Linked DNA regions of Astyanax mexicanus. The protein of the gene in region 2 binds, or shares a complex with, the protein of the main gene of each other region. Links are inferred from orthologs where the notes say so. Each region holds a gene or a part of one and is shown on either strand. Other genes may lie near its edges. The genes, in order: tpt1 and bcl2l1.

Evidence for each region.
Region 1: the proteins of bcl2l1 (region 2) and tpt1 are in contact, whole or in part, in a crystal structure (PDB 4Z9V), measured with the Homo sapiens proteins. The link is inferred for Astyanax mexicanus from reciprocal best matches to the Homo sapiens genes BCL2L1 and TPT1. Residues at the interface, in NP_001304848.1 of Homo sapiens: Ala93, Glu96, Phe97, Arg100, Tyr101, Ala104, Phe105, Leu108, Gln111, Ser122, Gln125, Val126, Glu129, Leu130, Asp133, Asn136, Gly138, Arg139, Val141, Ala142, Phe146, Leu194, Tyr195, Ala199, Ala200, Ser203; in NP_003286.1 of Homo sapiens: Phe14, Asp16, Ile17, Lys19, Ile20, Arg21, Ile23, Ala24, Asp25, Gly26, Leu27, Cys28, Leu29.

The regions. Positions count from the first base shown.
Region 1 is NC_064428.1:30,641,651-30,651,126, forward strand, and holds the start of tpt1 (translationally-controlled tumor protein homolog), read right to left. Parts: upstream 4,530-9,476; 5' UTR 4,416-4,529; coding exon 4,388-4,415; intron 3,596-4,387; coding exon 3,522-3,595; intron 1-3,521. UniProt on the Homo sapiens protein: Involved in calcium binding and microtubule stabilization. Acts as a negative regulator of TSC22D1-mediated apoptosis, via interaction with and destabilization of TSC22D1 protein.
Region 2 is NC_064420.1:34,067,841-34,077,145, reverse strand, and holds the start of bcl2l1 (bcl-2-like protein 1), read left to right. Parts: upstream 1-5,329; 5' UTR 5,330-5,514; intron 5,515-6,745; exon of another isoform or gene 6,746-6,897; intron 6,898-7,508; exon of another isoform or gene 7,509-7,685; intron 7,686-9,305. Other genes in the region: arfgef2 (brefeldin A-inhibited guanine nucleotide-exchange protein 2), read left to right, coding at 1,521-1,685. UniProt on the Homo sapiens protein: Potent inhibitor of cell death. Inhibits activation of caspases. Appears to regulate cell death by blocking the voltage-dependent anion channel (VDAC) by binding to it and preventing the release of the caspase activator, CYC1, from the mitochondrial membrane.

The DNA.
Region 1 (9,476 bases), on a different chromosome or scaffold from region 2:
ACTCTAATAATACTGCTCCAGCAGTATTAAAAGTGCTAAATTTAGAAAATACTGATCTCTGAACAGTGAAAAAGCTAGCTAGCTAAGCGGTTAGCATCTAGCTAATGCTATTGCTGCTCTGCACGGAGTGTGTGTTTACTGCTCCTTACACCTGACGGGTAAAATTTAGATAATACTGATCTCTGAACAGTGAATAAGCTAGCTAATGCTATTTGCTGCTCCAGCCTCGGAGCTGCACGGCTCTGGACTCTGTATAGCACTGAAACTCTCTATAACGCTGCACGGAGTGTGTGTTTACTGCTCCTTACAACCTGACGAGTAAAATCCATACAAAAGGCGCACCGTATTATAAGACGCACTGTCAATTTTTGTGAAAATTAAAAGTTTTTAAGTGCGCCTTATAGTCCGAAAAATACGGTATATGTTTCAGAAAAATTAACACTGACGGTGTGTCATCATTCATCTTCCCCCTGATTATATTTGAAGTTTTCAATTTGATAAAATTAAGAAAAAATATATTAAGTCTCTTTTTCCAGAGCTGTACCACCCATTATTAAATAAAACCTCAACTTACCCCCTATTGACCTATTGCGTCAGCATTGCCCGCTTTTGTGATCTGCAAACTAACCCTTTTCTAGAAAACAGTAGACTCTGACATCTTTGAAAATTTAACAACAGAAGCACAAACAGATTTAATGAACTACGATGCACCTAGACGGTGTCCCCTTGCACCTCTTAGACAATTATTCAGTAATTAATTTTAACCAAAACACTATTGGGAGTTACTATAGTAAGAATAACTCATTATTGCTGTAATTATAAAAAGTGAAGACTTGGGGCGTGGTCTCGCATACCAGGTCTTTGCATTCCTCTAGACCAGAGGTACTCAAAATGTGGTATGTGAAGATTATGAAATCAAATCTTCCTTCCCAGCAATATATCTGGCATAAAGCCTTCACAACAAGAGTTGTGTGGTGGGGGTATTACTGTAGCAAAGCAGCATTAATAGGCATGCCTATGGGCTTGTCCAATGCAACATTTATCAGCCCTGGTCCTGGAGGCCAAATACCAGCAAGTTTTCAGAAATCGTTCTAAAAGGGCTTCAGTCAGACTAGTGTTGCTCAATCCCTCCCTGTCCTTGACATTTTCAAAATATTCTCTGCTTTAACACACCCCTGCACTCCTGAAAAGGCTTGTTGATAAGCTGATGTGTTAAGAGCATTGAAAGTAATACAAGCAAGGCGGCAGGAAGCCCCCCAAGTCACAAGATCAACTGACTGAGGAGTCCTTAAAAGTCCAACTAATTACAGCACGTGGAATCAGGTATGCTCAGGCTTGTTGAGAATGATATTCATTAACTTATCAGTGTAGCTGCAGGCTAAGATCCAACAACTCTACACTCTCCACGCTCAATTCTCAACCAATGAGAAAATGTAAACTGAAGTTGGCTGTGAAACATGTAGTACAAAGCAGTAATTTAGTACTGCAAGTCTAAAATTGGATCAGGGGACTATATATCCCCACCCAGCTCACACCTGGCATTAGGCATTGTCCCAATGGATTTTAGCTCACATCCTTCAGAGTCCTGTTCTACTGGCAATACCTCTCTACAGGGACTAGACAAGCAGAATGCACATTTCTACATCCTTGTCAGCAATAGGTGGAACTTAAAAGTAGCTGAATGCACTAATTACAATGTCTAGAACATCACACTCCTGCAGTAACCCCATAAACAGCATATTGGCAACACAAGACAAATGACTGGGCAGAGCTTGTTTCAGAGCTTGAACAAGAGTTTACTTTTTACTATACTTCTAACTTAAATAGTACAGACCATATAAATGCAATGTAATATACACTAAAGTTTTCATTGTGTGTTTGACTGACTGCATTGTTGATCAGGATGTTAATCACCACCCCACCCAAACTGGACTCATCCAAAAGTGTTGTATAAAAGCACCATCAATCACTCCAGAGATCAGATTTGCTGTGCCAAAGCTCAATGCTGTGGGGGTTCTACCCCTCTAGCTCATGCCTGGAATTAGGCACAGTGCCAGAGTCCCGTCCTATTGGAAATACTTCTATACAGACAAGCTGTGTGTGCACATTCCCACATCTGTCAGCAATGTGAGAAACTTGAAAGTAGCTAAAAGCATTAGAGTAAGCGTCTGAACAATTAGGATGTTTAATGAAACCTCACACCTAGGCTGTTTCTCAATATGCATTCTTGTGCAATTTAGCATCCTCACATTCTTGCCAGACATCCTGTGCTACCCTAACTGCAAAAAAATACTGAACATATTTAAAGAAAACCACTGAAGTTCACAGATTCGGAAACTGAGAACAGTCCAATTTACAGAGAAAATCGAACAGAAATACCCAGCATTCACTTTGAATTTAACAGACAAAAATCACAATATACTGTTCTGCCCCAAATTATTATAAATCACCATCTCTCAAATCTTACAACGGTCTTTCCAGTTCCTGCTTTAAAAACGTAGTGAAAAGCCACTACAACTATAATTTAATATGATTAAAAAAAAAAATCAAATAAGTACACAGCATATTAGTTTGTTTGTGCCAGGCCCCTTTCAGGAATGGACTTCTTGGGACGAACATTCATCGCATTCCCTAGGTCACATCTCTACAACCGCCTGGTAGATGTCCTCCACCTTTGTATACTTTCTAAAGACTTGAGAAACGATACACTTTAAAACAAAACTAATCTACATTAGCATATATCTAAATATATAGCAACTACTTCAGAAGGAGCTTCAGAATCTGATCAGGTACAAAAAGTAATGAGCTCATACTGGTGTACTGTGGGTGGGGGGAAAGAAATCAGCCATAAGGTTGTTCAAGGTTTCTCACAGAAGCAAAAAAAAAAACAGGTACTCAACTATGAGGTCGGTATGCGTTTTGATTGGAATTATACTGGTATTGGCCGACGTGGTCAACATTTTAAATCGATACTAGCTGGCATATATATATATTATATGATGAAAAACACTGGATATGCTATTTTAAAAAATTATTTTAAGCTTTAAAGTTTAACAAAGAAATATCTATTCAAAATTGCAAAAATGGGTGTATTAGTGTATATCTAAATATATATAGAAGACATGAAACTAAAGTTTTGGATACAAACTTTACATTGGATCGCTTGACCAATCAGAAAATATGTTGTACAGAATCCATTCAACATCAGTCTAGAAATCCATGTTAGTGTGTGTCTAAGTATTGACTGTAGAACGAAAATAAATCTAGCATCAGGAAGCTTAGAAACTTTTGGACAGCGTGTAACGGACTCATACCGGTGTACTGTGGGTGGAGGAGGGAAAGAGAGGGGGAGGGAGGGCGGATACCACAAATTAGTCATAGGATTGCGCAACGTCTCACAAAGAAACCCAAAAACCAAGCAGCCAACAGTTCCTTAACTACCTATTAAGTACATAAATATCTTTATTTTCCTCTTTAAATTTTATATAAATCAAATACACAGGCTAATAGAGGTGTCTTACCTTTCCCTCGACTTCGATCATCATTCCATTCTCAGACTCTTTGATTTTGTAGATGTCCGAGAACATCTCGTCTCCTGTGAAACAACGTACACATACATTTAGTAAAGATGGGATTAAAAACGAGTTGATTTCGAGGACATTCTCTTTAAATATGTATTACTCTGGTGAATCCCGAAGCGCAGTGGCTGAGGCGGTGCTGCATTTCGGGTCAGCTGACTTTTTAAAGATCTCAGGCCTGGACAAAAGCAGCAGCAGACCGCCTTAACAACAGGCACAGGCCGGCCTGAGCTCATGAGTTAGTTAAATAGCTAGCTAGCATATGCTGATTTATTACACAGTTTAAATGGACTGAAAAAGCAGAAAATAAGAGATTCAGACTGTTAAAAGGTATTTAAAAACAAATGTGTACGTGGCATCTCGCTAATTGGCGCCACACAAGTTAAACTAGCTAGCTAGTTAGCCTGCTTAACTTTTACATGGTGAAAATCTGCCGGTGTGGTAGCTAGCTGAAATTTAGCTAGGCTAACTAGCTAACGTTAACAAACCGGCGTTTTACTCAAATAACCAATTTTTCACCCATTTCTCACTCCTAACACCAAAATACCAACCACTAAACCCGTTTTAAAGCCTTAAACACATAAACCCCACATTAAATCCCCACTAAAACGACACTATATACAATAAAACACAACTCCAGCTAACTTCTGTTAGCCGCACTGCGCTAACCTGGCGCTAAAAACTTAGGCCTCTTTTCGCCAGCGCCACAAAAACCTACAAAAAAGCCACAAAAACGAGCCGGACACCCAAAAATACCCTCCAAATCCACGAGTTTAAAGCCTTTACACTCTGTATAAGCGCTTTCTCACCGGTGATGATGTCCTTGTAGATGATCATTTTGATGGATTGTGTTGGAGGGCTCGGAGCAGGCGCTGCGCTGGCGGCGGACTCAGCTGGAAAGGCCGAGAGACCGAGATCAGCTCTAGACACTGCCAGAACAGATGACGTCAATGCGCGCTCAGCTCCTTTTTGTAAAGCGCACGAGCGACCTCAAGCGGCCCGCGGCCAATCAGCGCCCTCGCCCTCTCAGTACAGCACAGTACAGTCTGTGCACTCGAGTACAAACTCTCCTCTGATTAATAAATAAATACTGTAATACTGTGAATTAAAGCAACATTTCTACACTGTGTGGTAGGATAGACCAGGGACAGATGTGACACCTTGATTTTCTCCGTTTAGAAACAAGCTAGAGTATTTACACTCACTGTGCACATGCTCAGTTAGACTTTCTAAAGAAGCCACTTTTAAAATTTAGAGAGGAATTTACCACAAAAGTTATTTTTAAGGTTGAATTTTAAGGTTAAAATTGAACCTTTCTATCGGAGGTACTTTTTGGATACTGTCCTGAGATCAAATGTCTAGGAATCAAAACAAGTATTATTAGCAATTAAGCATTTTTTGTAAGATAAAAGTTGTTAGAAATGTCTAACATGTCAAAGTACCAGACAGGCTAGGTTACATTTATATTTATATTTAATATATATACATATGAATCAATTAATTTGTATGGTAATAACATTGGTCAATGAAATGCTGACTGCTCCCTTGAACGTCTTCACTTCACATTGCTTGCCAATGTGCTTATTAATTAGGCCCACATAAACTATGTTGGAGGAGAAGGTTTGGCTCGCAGTCTTCAAACTAATTCATCCGAAACTGGTTGAGGCCAGTGAAGTTCTTCCACACCAAACTTGCTCACCCATCTCTCTGTGATCCTTTCTTAGGCTCCGTTCACATTACAAGCCACATTGCTCACATCCGTTTTTTTGTTCAGATCGGATTTGGCTATCGTGAGGGTTTATATTCACAAATGTAAGTGGACTGTATCTGTGTGTAATGTGAACGAATCTGTCCCTGAAACGCCTCACATGTGCACACTGATACATGTATAAACGTCTCCTGCTTCACCAACAAAACAAAAAACATCATACTTGTGAGACTCGTAACTTTATAAAGGTGAAATGGATGAGTTAGCAGCTCATATGTAGAGCATCTTTTGCTGAAGTGGAGAGTAAACAGCTGGTCTGAAGTTCATGCTCAGGTCGAGGAGGTGCAAAAAGACCAGGCGGTTTGCTTTTGCTGTTTTTGCAGCTATAGCTGCACAGCTGCACCAAGAGGTGTGTGGGTACGAGAGAGAAGCATGTAGCGCATGCAGAAATTCTGATTTGACTGTTCACATTCATGTTGCACGTCCATGGATCGGATACATATCTGATTTAGGACCACATATGAAAGTGACTCAAATCTGATTGAAAAAAAATATTTGAGTCACTTCGACCTGGTAATGTGAACATTAGTGACCTGGTGTACAATCATGTTAAAACAGGAAAGGGCCACTGCTCTAGAATCCAGGGACTGATGCTTTGCATTGCACTTAGTGATGTTTAACCTTTGTGTGGTGTTCGGGTCTGTGGGACCCGTTTTCATTTTTCATCAAATGATACAAAACATTTTTTTTCTAACTCAAACTCATTGGCATTGGCTCATTTTTTGTGAAAAACATCAAAACACATTTTCGATAAACACACATCTTTTGCTGCTTTTGCTACTGTCCTTAAGACACTGAGCTGCTGTATTTATACCCAGCCAAAAGCAGTGATTTATCTTCTATCTACAGTAAACCACTGTGATTCACAGAAAAAGTATAAAAATCCCAGTACGGTAGTCTTCAGACAGTCAGATGAACCACCAGTAGGTGTCCCCATGCTCTTTCTCCTCAGTATGTTGGTGGTAGAGGAGCAGCAGTGTGAGATCAGTATTTAGTAGGCTGGTCACGAATGGACTGGCCCCACTTGCTTCCTTCAAGTGGGAGGATATTTGTTCCTCTCACAGAGCTTAAGCCTTCAGTGTGTGTGTGAGTATGTGTCTGTGAGTGTGTGTCTGTGGGTGTGCGTGTTGACCAGCTTCACTGCAAATTTGCACCAGCTGAGATGAAGTCCTTTTATGAAAACTTTCTTGAAAGGTGAGTATTATGATACAAATCTAACACCATTTTTACACCATTGTAACTGTAACACGTTTAACTGGAGTATGCATGTCCTATCTCCAAAACAGCAACTTTTTACAGGATAAGCCAAAACTTTTAAAACTTTCAATGGAAGGTAAAATTGTGTATTTCATTCCATAAGACAAATTGGAGCATTTTTATGTTGGTTAATTCATTGCAAATATTTTCATTGATTGTCAAAAGTGGAAAACAGCAGTAACTGAGATCAGGTTTAGCATCAGTGATTAGTAATAATAATAATAATAATAATAATAATAATAATAATAATAATAATAATAATAATAATAATTGTAGCTAACTGCCTTTTTAGAGTTAATTTAGTCTTATAGCCTCTGTTTAGTTCTGCTTTTCTTTCTTAAGCCTCGAAGTTACATGTTAATGTACTTTTTTAGCATAGTGACCCAACAAATTGTGCCCTACAAAAAGTCTGTAGTTGATTAATACTATAATGTATTAATATCACAAATTAAATCCTGCATAAAACTGGTTTACCCTGTCTTACATATCTAATATAGCTTTTTAAAAAATTATTTTAAATGGTTGATGCTGCTTTTAGTCACAATAAAAGGTCATTTTATACGATGTTGTAAATGTTAACTAGACAGAAACCACAAAAAGAATTGACATGCCAAATATCATGAGATGAGGCTGTCCACTGGTCAGCGTGGTTGTGGCAAGGCATTGTAAATTCATTAGAATAGTTTTGTAGGCGTGTATAATGTACATAAAAGGCATTACCACCCACAGTGGGCAGCGTAGTCTGTCTAGAATTGTTCATCCGAACAGACAAATAAAAATCACAACCATTTTAGTCCACCAAACCTTATATGCATATCATACAGATCAGTGTAGTGTTCCTTAGCTTAAAATTGGGACATGAAAAAGTCATGGGAAATACAGTAATATGCTTTACTTTTCCCTCAATTATACACTTTACTGTGGGTGGCAAAAGCCTGCCTCAAAGGCTCTTGAAGATACTATGCCATGCCTAGCCGCATCGACAGACCTATCCCTGATTGACAATGTGTGGGATGTTCTATCTATTGGATGCACTCTCAACACTTCTACTGCAAAATTAGCAGGAACTGTGTAAGAATATTTGAAATGCATAGAATAGATGGAGTATTGCAAGACAGCATTATAAACTTCTGCATCTCTATAATGCCGAGATATCCGGTGTCTTGTGTTACTAAATGTGTGACTAAATAAATATGATATTACCCATATCAGTCATTTTTTTAAATAATTTAATGTTCCTGGGATCTTTTATCTTTATCTTTTCAATATAACTGCAATGTGGCACTTCCTTCTGGGTGTAACTATGCTTTGATGATGAAGCTACATGGACTAAAAAGCTGAACGTTAAATAGGTTTTTCCTTCTCTTGTAAACTACAAAGTTTTTCTCCGACAGTGAGAGTATGCACTTGTAATTGGGGTGCAGTGCAGTGTTGAAAGGTTATTACCAGCCATAAAGCTAACTTTGAAGTATGGTAACTGTTCTCATTGCGCAGCCCCATGCCTTTTTCCAGTAGTCATTCTGTTCCAGTAAGCCCAGCAGCGGTCAGAGAGGGTCTTTCGTCCGAGACCCCAAAGCAGACCAGCGAGTGAATTTTTAGCAGCGGAGGGAAACAGATTCATGCCCCACATTTTTTAAACAGAGGATGATTTGCTAGCTTGTGATCCCGCTTCTCCTGAGGGTTCTGTGGTTTACCCTGGCTGTGACACAGAGAACTAAAGCCAGCTGTTTCATTTCCCACTGGGAAGCGGCTGGTACAAAGCCAGACCTGCTCTTTATATAAGCTCTGTGAAGGGCGTGTGGCTGCCCTGTGGCATTTCCACACAGCGCCCTCACAGTGTGCCCTCAGCAGACCACTCAGAGCTGAGTTCCTGGCAGTGCTGGAGACTTGAGGTTAAACAGTGGTGGTTTTAAAAGCTACCGTTACACTGAGCTGCTGTATTTACACCCAGCCAAAAGCAGTGATTTCTCTTCTATCTTTAGTAAATGACTGTGATTCACCCAAAAAATAATAACCAAAAGAAAATGTTATAGCTGTTACCAGTTATAGCTGTCCTTCTTCTTCTTCTCCTTCTTCTTCTTCTTCTTCTTCTTCTTCTTATTATTATTATTATTAAAAGTAGTAGTAAAAGGAGTAATCAATGTTTTAAAATTGTTGGGTTTGTTAGTTACTTTCCCCCCCCCTCAATTTTTAAAATATTTCTATATTGTTATTATTAGTCAAAGTATTTAACCTTTTAAATTTAAATTTAAAGTTTTTAAGCTTAGGATTTTGTTTTTCCAAGTTTATCCCTATTCGATTTTTATTGTTATTATCATTGTTATTTATTATTAGTTGTATTAGTCATAGATTCCAATGTTTTTTATATTTCTTTGCCTATACCTATCATTATTATTAGTTCTAGTAGTAGTATTTTTTTATATTATTTTTTATTAGTATTATTAGAAGTAGAAGTTAGTTTTCCATCACTCATTTTTTGTATTATTTCTGTTATTTCTGTTATTTTTATTACTGCTATCATTATTGTTAATATTTATATATATATTCTAAATTATTTTGTCCCTTCATTTTTATATTATTATTCCTATTATTTCTATAATTATAAATATTTTAATTAATTTAAATGTACTGGTGCTTATTGTTGGCCATTGCTTTTTAAGTGTTTTAGTTTTTGATTTTAAAGTTTTTGATTTCATATTGTAATTTTAATATTATATAAAATTATTGTAGATGGTAGTTTTCGTATTTTTATTGTTGTTGTGTTTATTAGACAGTGAATAAGTGTTGAGTTAAAGTGGTAGAGCTTCATAGTGAGCTGTTCTGCTGGTGGGCTTCAGTGTGTAGCATTGTGTAGTCTAGACATCAAAAAAAGG
Region 2 (9,305 bases):
CTTCCTTACATTATGTTTAAATTCTGGTAAATACCTTGAAAGTGTGTTAAAGAGGCTTAAGTGAGCAACGGTTGGTTAGTGAAGATTATTTGAAACATTGCTGTGAAGATTTGATTGTAAATCTCAGACAATTGTTTAATTCATTGCTTTTACATGAGTAACATGGCTTTGGCATTCAAAACCGAAAACTATACAATAAAAATGTATAATATTTTAAACTTTTTACTTTAAACAGACTCCCTATGTATACTGCTTATTGCAGTCATGGTTTGCTTAAAAGAAACTCATCTGTGGTGATTGAGAATCAGCTCAACAAACTAGTTTTAATAAATTTTTTTGTCAGCTTTCCTTACTTTAATGGTACTCTCATTTGAGCATTTATTGGTCAGTGTTTTCCTAACACTCCTATACACCAAACTCACTAGAGCTGTGAATTGGCAAGAACTTGGAGAGAAGATACCAATCATGATGTAAGGCTTACAATTAAATATCTCAGTCATATCAATACAGCAGTATATAACAATTGAATGAAAACTGTCATTGTATAAAAAACGCATACATTTTTATAAAATCAGAATAAATAAAAAATGTTTACTTTTATGCAGTAATAACATGGCAATCTTACCACAGAGTACTGCTCTCTAAATTAACTACTGCCATTTTTTACATGTAAACTAATAGTTGAAAACCAATACTGTGTTTTGCAAAATCAGTACTATAGCACTTTTTTGTTTTCTTAAGCCCTATCGAATGATATTAAATTAAATTAAATGAAATTAACACTTCTACTCAGTGATAAAACTTTTGTCAACAAATTGAAAGTACAGTTCACAACCACAAAATGTGGGAGTCCAGTATCTCCACCATTTCCACTTCTCTGGTGTGTTTACGTGGATCTCTGTGGAATTGCACGCCCAAAGTGTAAATACAGTGCATAGCAGTGGACAAATAGCTATTTTATTAAATGTGAGGTGATGAAACTCAGAGATGTGCGTCCAGACGGGACTAAAATTACTAAAGAAGCACAGAGTTTCGTGAAAAACAGTAGATAATTCAGCCTGTAATTTTTTTAGAGCACGTCTGACAAAAACACGTACGTGGTCATTCCGGATGGGAAAATAATCACAGAGGACCCCCCCCATAAAAGAGAAAATTACCCCAGGACCCCCTGAGAAACTAATCCTGTCCAGTTAGGGCTTTTTTTTAACACCTTTTTATCTCGCATTACAAAACTGGCTACCTCACAGCAATCATATCTGTCAAGTGTGGAAGTTCCATATTACAGAATGTTACTGACTACAGAGTGGCGCTGAACCTCAGAGGCCTATAAAAGGTTTTGTAGAGCACACAGACACTCTGCATAAACAGAACTTGAATGATGTCAAAGTAAGAGGAAGCCGTAATGGTTTGATGGGATAATAATAGCTAAGGGAGTCAGACAGTGACTTCTACTAATCATGTGTCATTACAGCCCTCATGAACACATCCTCTTTTTCTCTCTTGTTCTCTGTTTCTCTCAGTTTAAGCCGCACGCCTCCTGTTACTACCCCCATCTGTGTGAGATGATGCAGTTTGACCTCATCCCTGAGCTGCGAGCTGTCCTGCGCCGCTTCTTTCTCCGCATAGGTTCAGTCTTCCACATTGCCGCGCCCGAGATGGCGGCCGCACGAGCGCCGGCCTCGTAGAGCACAGTAGGTCCTGTGTCTTTACAGAAAATGGAATGGAGGGGTCGGGAGAGCTGCAGCGTGCGAGGACCTTCAGCGGTGCGAGGAAGCGTGCAGGAGGGCTTGGAGCTGATGCTGACACTGCTCACCCAAAGTCATACTCTGTGTCTGGATCTCCTGACCTTTTCCCCTCAGCCCTTAAATCCCCCCCTACCACCCACTCGGGAGAGAGAGCAGCACTGTGTGACCCAGCAGGGCTCTCCTCTCTTCGACATTGTGGCTCAAGTGCAATCATATTAAAGTCATACATTCTAAAAGGGAGGGGGGCAATACAGCAACAACAACAATGATGATGATGATGATGATGATAATTTATTAACAATACTGTTGTGTATCCTGTTCCTGATTGTTGGTCAGTTGATTTGTGTTTTGTTTTGTTTGTATTGTTTTTTTTTTGTCTTATGTTGGAATTATTTTTGTCCTTATTTTAATAAGCAAACAGACAGTGATTTCCAAATGCACGGAGCTACAAGATTTGAAATATCATATCAATCAATTACAAGCGTGTAATTTATAGCAGGTTTGCTTATCTGTGCCTATGCAGATAAAAGAGTGAGACTTATCATTAAAGCCTCAAACAGGAGTCTTGGCAAGTGGTGGAACGGTTTTTGGTCCTGCTTTAACAGCCCTGTGACATTTATGAAGAAAACTAATTCAAAGCAAGAGTTCTTGGGGTGCCTGAGCTATTTAGGTAGTTTCTTATTGGAGCTTTAATGACTGGGTAAATATATACATTATTTATTACAAGCATATGCTCAGCAACCTCGCATTTACACACCAGAATACTGAACAACAAGTAGCCTTGGGTTGTGAGTATCAGATGTTTAAATTAATAACGGGAAGAGTCTGGAATAAGGTGATAGCCTTTCATATTCTCTTGGATTTGTTCATGTCTATGAACCAGAAGCTGTCTGTAGTTCAACACTCTTACAGTGAAACGTAGCTGCCCCTGTGTTGGCCTGGGAACAGGGGTGATGTAACATGGCTGCACTCCAAAACACTTCTGTTGGTTTCATTTAACATTCCCTCAAGGACCCCTCCTCCCTCACTCAGCAGTACACACTAATTTTTCCTGCGTGAAGCGTACACAATTTTCTCGGCCTCTGGATTGACAGTTACAGAAAGGCTGGGGTCTTTAAGCATTCCTGATTTTTTTTTTCTCTCCACATCATAAAAGTCTGTCACCTAAGCTGCTCCCCCCTCATTTGATGACTGTGTGAATGAGTGAGTCTCATTTGTTAGCTTGTGTCATAATCTTCCAGCCAGTGTTGCCCTACCAACACCAAGCTAAAGGAAAAAGAAAAAATACAAAAATAACTACATATACTGTACAGTGCAGACGTGTATGTTTGTACTCAAATCTCTTAACAGTATCAAGCCTCTGTATTACTAGAGCACATAAAGCTCCGGGTGCATTTTTATGCGGATGTATTTAATTCTATGAAGTGCTTTTAAAATATTTTCTGGAAGCATTCCTCCCCTCGCAACTCTGTATGTCCACCTTGCCTCCCTCCGCTGTGAGGAAAATATAAATATATATATACAGTATGATGAAATACAAAGTGTAAAGTTTTCATGTAAAATAAAGGATAAAAGAAGCTCTACACATATTGGGATGTAATCTTCCAAGCTTTTGGTGAATTATTCAATAAATAATAAAAAAGGGTCTGCACAGATTGTACATTTCACTGTTCACTGCTATTAATAAACCAACAAGTCTTTATTTAGCTGTAAATCAATTGTAATAGTAAAAACTCAAAGTACACTTTTCTGTAATGTAGCTTTTACTAGTAGAAACTCATTTCAGAATTTAGCTTTGAAATGTTTTGCTAGTAATAATATCAGATCTGCAGATCTATAAAGACAATCTGACTAGACATATCATGATGACATCTTGAGTTTGTTCTTGACTAGTCATATTGTACCTTAAGCCTCTTATCAATATTCTTAATTAAATTTTACAATTAAAACTCCAAGTACAAATATCTATAATAAACTTTTTAACACAGACTATTTACTAGTCAAAATCAGAATTGTAGATCTGAAATCATATACAGATTTTAATCTTCACTTAAAGCTCTGAAAAAAGGAAGAGACCATTAAAAATGAATTTCTTTGATTTTACCAAAATCAGGAGGAAGATGCATGATCACAAGCCAGCAAACCAAGCTGAACTGCTGGAATTTTTGCACCAGGAGTGGCATAAAGTTACCCAAAGCAGTGTGTAAGACTGGTGGAGGAGAACATGCCAAGATCCATTAAAAGTGTGACTAAAAACCAGGGTTATTCCACCAAATATTGATTTCTGAACTCTTAAAACTTTATTTAAAGTCTAAAAGCGCTGCATTTTTTTTTGTTATTTCAGCCTTTTTGCATTTACTGCAAATAAATGCTCTAAATGACAATATTTATATTTGGAATTTGGGAGAAATGTTGTCTGTCGTTTATAGAATAAAAAAAACATTTTACTCAAATATATATCTATAAATAGCAAAATCAGAGAAACTGATTCAGAAACTAAAGTGGTCTCTCATTTTTTTCTAGAGCTGTATATACAGTAGTTGTATCTGCTATCTGTGGATGGAGTTGTGTTAATGTCAGGACAGGCCGCTTGGGGGCGCGCTGGTTTAGCACGGATGTGAACACAGTACAAGTTTACATCGTTTTGGGGTTACCATAGGTTACCATGTTAAAACATACATGTATTCAGTGTTTTTAATGTGCGTGAACTGATTTATTCAGACACAGACACAAAAAATACATCCGGAAAACACAACAACTGACCAGAATCTGCATAATAAAATGCCTGTCATGTTTAGGACGTCAGAGGACAGCCACACTCCACTTTAACAAGCAGAAACAAGTGCGTTAGCGGAGTAAACCAAAACACAAATTACAGCAATCTTCTGTGAACACTAACGATAGTTTACAGAATCTGCAGTATCGTGAAAAATTCACAGGGGGGGGGGCGGAGCTTCGGCGCATGCGTGAAGGGGAGCTAGCTAGCAGTCCAGAGTTGCCAGGTGTGAAGTTTTCACGCGATCGAATACTAGTCGCGGGGGAAAAATTAGGGGTGGCGGGGTGCGTTTTTTTGGGCTACTTTTAAAAATTACCGCGGCCGCCAAACACATAAATTAGAATGATTACAGCATTAAAAACAAAGAGAATATAACGACATAAAAGACAGCATAAAAAGGAGAAAGAGAGCGAGAGAGAAATCACAATGAAACCAGAAATCACAAGATATTATGTTAAAGAGAAGAGAAGAAAGTTCAGGAGGGGCAAGAACAGAAATGAGTTAATAAAAGACAGTTTTTTTACTTATTATGTTACTATTAAATGTTCTTGACTGGAATATAAAACTGTTCTATTAAACACTAAAATAAAACTCTTTTGTTACAATAGTATTAATGACTAAGAAAAATAGCAATACTGATAATAAAACCCTTATAAACAAAATACTACGTCGTACACTCATAATTGTTTTGTCATTCGCTTTAAACGTGTGACAGACATGTTCGTTAGTTTAGCTAGTTTAAGCTTCTGAAGGGCAGGTTTTTGGGCTGGATATTTTTGTTGGATCTGGCAACCCATGCGCTGTCTGCCTTCTCTCTGAAGCGGGCGAGCAAGGAGAGCTAGTGGGGACTAGCGCCGCTTCCAGAGGCTTCAGCCGTGGTGGTTTGCTGTGCTAAGGCTAGAAATGTCGGATTTACAGTCGCTCTCTGACCGGAGACCTGCTGGATATTTCGATCATGTGTGGGCCGGAGAGCTCACCCTTTTAATTATCTGAGTAAGTCGCAGCAGGAGCTGCAGTGGCGCAATTATTCACTGCAGTAGCTGGCGTTATATTTTCTCTGCTAGTCAGAATTACGTCGTTCTTGTAACGCTATCTACTAAAAAAGCCCAACCCGTTCCCATTAAAGCTCCTGGTGTTAGCTAGCGTTAGCCACATAGCTAGCTAGTTGTGTTAGCCTGTGATTGACGTAGTTGGTTAGCCAGCTTAGGTTCAAAACGTCCTTGATTCTTGTAACTACTTCAGCTGGTTTATTGCTGTTAGCTTCATTATTTTGTGAATGTGGTTGAGCTACATTGAAATGCAACAGGGTAGCAAGCTAGGGGATTTATTTTTATGTTTTTATCTGAACCTTAAATTGGTTAGCGTTGGGTTAGTTAGCTAACGCTAGCTAAGTGTACAATTCAATTGTAATAGCTAACCTAGGTTAGCTGGCTAGCTCTATGTAAGGAGGCTTAATAGCCACCACTGGTGTTTTAACGTTAAGTCTGTTCATTTTGGGGTAGTAAGGTCAGTTATATACCTAGCTAGCTAGCTTGCTCAGAGTTTAACATGGAGTTGGTTCATCTATAGTTCACCTAGCTAGGTTAGCTTAGCTGCTTCATTCTGGATTTTATGACAGCTGCCTTCAAATACTTTTTCTTTGAGCTTATGTGGTAGCCAAAGGATATATATAGCCTTAACGTTAACTAGCTAACATAGCTATCAAGTATTTTTGTTCTGTAAAGAATATAACGTAGCTAACTCTAGTTTATTTAACCAACTAGGTAAGCTTGGCTACTGTATTTTTAAGGTGGTCAATTGATTTCGTTCACCTATACACACTGACGTTATTGTGAGGTGGATTTATTTAGCTCATCTATGCTATAATGGTATTTAGCATACACGAAAACGCTTACACGAAAATTGATATTCATAAATGTACGTTATTAAAATGAATAATAATAATGGTAATAATAAAATAAACCATTATTAATCATTCTAAGACTTTTTCATTATATGTTCTACCTCAATTTAAAGAGTAGATGATGTAGGTATATTCTTAAGATTTCCGTTGTTTCCTTTATGAATACAAAATATATATTATAGTTAAATAAAAATCACAGTAATTTCGAGAGGTTTGTAGAAGTGCTAGAAAGCTCCTCCTGTTACGTAATTATCGTGTGGGCGGGGCCTAAGGCTCTTCTATGCAATCCAGTAGAAGCGCGGGGGCGGGGCTTGGTCTATTCACGTTTTCACGTTTGTGCTGTAAGTTATATTTATTTACCAGCTGAAGCACGAGGATATTTTATATTACAGAGTTCGGGTACTGTACAGGGACCACGGGAGCTGTTAGGTGTGTAGATCTATCTGAGGACTGGGCAGATAGATGTCTGTATGGTAAGCAGGATGTTCTTTAAACGTTCGAGCTGTTATATAGCTTACCTGTTATGTAGCTGGTTCTGAATGAGCGGATGTTCAATGTCCAAAGTTGACATGTTCTGATTGGGCAGTGTTTTAGGGTAATTTATAACTAGTCTTAGACCTTAGACACGAGTTTTAAACGACAGGCGTTCCCCGTGACTGCCTCGGATCTATAAGCTAAGCTAGGTGGGGACATAGTTCTTTAGATTTCTTTAAGATAGTCCAGATGCTTTGGGTGTCACACGAAACTGCTCCGGTGGCAGGACTAGCCTTGCGGGCACGCATTCCTACTGAGTTTCGTGTACATAAAAATTTCAAAAGCGACACAGATGTTGTGTCAGCTTTGTGACATTAGCTATTAGCTAACTGTATACAACTTGCTTAACTACAGATTCTCAACATTAGAAAAGTGAGTCTGTAGCAAATACGTTATTATAAGCTATTGTTATCTACGCCTCATGTAGGTTAGTTAATTACAAATATATCTATTAACAGACCTTCTTGTTGTTGTTCTTATTGTGACCACGTTTACGGTAATACTGGATTAGCTGTGTCTTCCAGTAGTTGTTTATGTGCTGATCTGTTCTGTCTCTGTGAAGATGACTAAATTCAGCGCCTCGTGCTTTTATCTCTCTGCTCTGTTGGTGTGGCGACCACGTGTTTTTGCCTCCCGTGCCCCAACTGAACGCAGATTGTTTTACGCAAAATCCGTATCTTTGTTTGGTAGGATTCTGTAACGTTATATCCGTGAATCGCGGCTGAGGGTATGTAGAATGTTTATCACTAAATCTTACTGCTACATATTTCATCAGAACACATATTTTACTAGTGTCGTCTTCTGTGATGATTTACACCCTCAGAGTGTCGCCATCGTTTTCAACTGAGACACAGTGAACAAACAGAATGGAGAGCTTGGCTGTGTACTGTTTATTTGTATATTTAAGTAAAAAGCTTTAAATATTAAACATAAAAGAAAACGATGCTCCTTGACTTGACTATGTTATTTAAAAGACAACAGTCGTTACAAGAGTTGTCTTTTTATGATCTCAGAGAAAGGCACCATTAAACTTTAATATTTTGTTGTTTTTTAAATTGTCATGTATAAAGAACCAGTTTATAAAGCTGTACATAAGGCCTGTCACAATAATAAAAAAAACATATTATTAGGATGATATTGTCCCAATTAAATTGTGCTAACTTTTTATCTTTTTAATTACTATTTTCATTAATATCACTAATATAATGATAATACAAAAGCATAATAATTTATTTATACTTTTAGAATAGGGATGTACTGATGTGGAAATTTTGAAATGATGCTGATATCCGATATTACACATGTACATATCTGCCATTGTTGATGTACACATTCATAACTTTCAGAGAAACTACACACCCTGCTGTAACTTTAACACTAATAAAAATGACTAAAAATGGGGGTTCCGTGTTGTCCAGCAGGCTAAGTGCTGCCACTATGAACAGGAGATTGCAGAAAAAAAAATAGAAAAAAAAACTAAAAATGAGCTTAACTCAATGGATTTTACAGTAGCAAAGCCTGTGCCGCCTGATCCTTTTCCAGCATACAATAAATACATCAGCAAATATTTGTTTGAAATATTTGCCATATCAGATGATGCAATTATATATTATTATCAAAGAAATTATTAGCCAATACCTATATAATTCCAATGTCATTGTGCATTCCTTTTTTAAATAGCAGTGAAATTTTAGTTATTAAAATGCTCAGATGTAGAATTAAAATTTTAAACATGTTAATATTTTAAATAAGTAAAACAGATACATATAATAAAATGCTTTTAATACTCACTATACAATATTTATGTCAGCAAAATCGACAAAGTACTGCATGATAAGTTGATAATATAATTATTGTGACAAGCTGAACGTAAAAAAATCCATATTTTAAGCATGCAAATCAGAACCATTAAACAGACCAATAGAAATTCTCCAAAATTAATCATTAAAATGAAATCTTTTAAATTGACTTCCAATAAAAGTGAAACAGAAGAGTCTTTCCTTCTCCAGCATAGTTGACATTCTAGAGATTCAAGGTTTTTGCCGAACTTTGCTTTGAAGTATTACGTAAATGTACTCAAATATGCCTAGTAATAGGCAAAAAAAAGGTTTAGAGGATGATTTGTCCTATGTTCTATTGTTTGAGTTTCGTCCGCTGAAGCTCTCATCTCCTCTATGCAGCTTGGATCAAACAAGAAAATCATAATTCAAACCACGCTGTCTATTCATACCCCCTGCTGCTCAAATTCACCTGTGTCAAGGTCAGTGTAGATTTGCTTTGCTCTCCTGAAGCTTTAGGAAAGGGGAAAGGGGAGCTATTCTCTCTATTCTTCCTCAGAGGCAGGTGA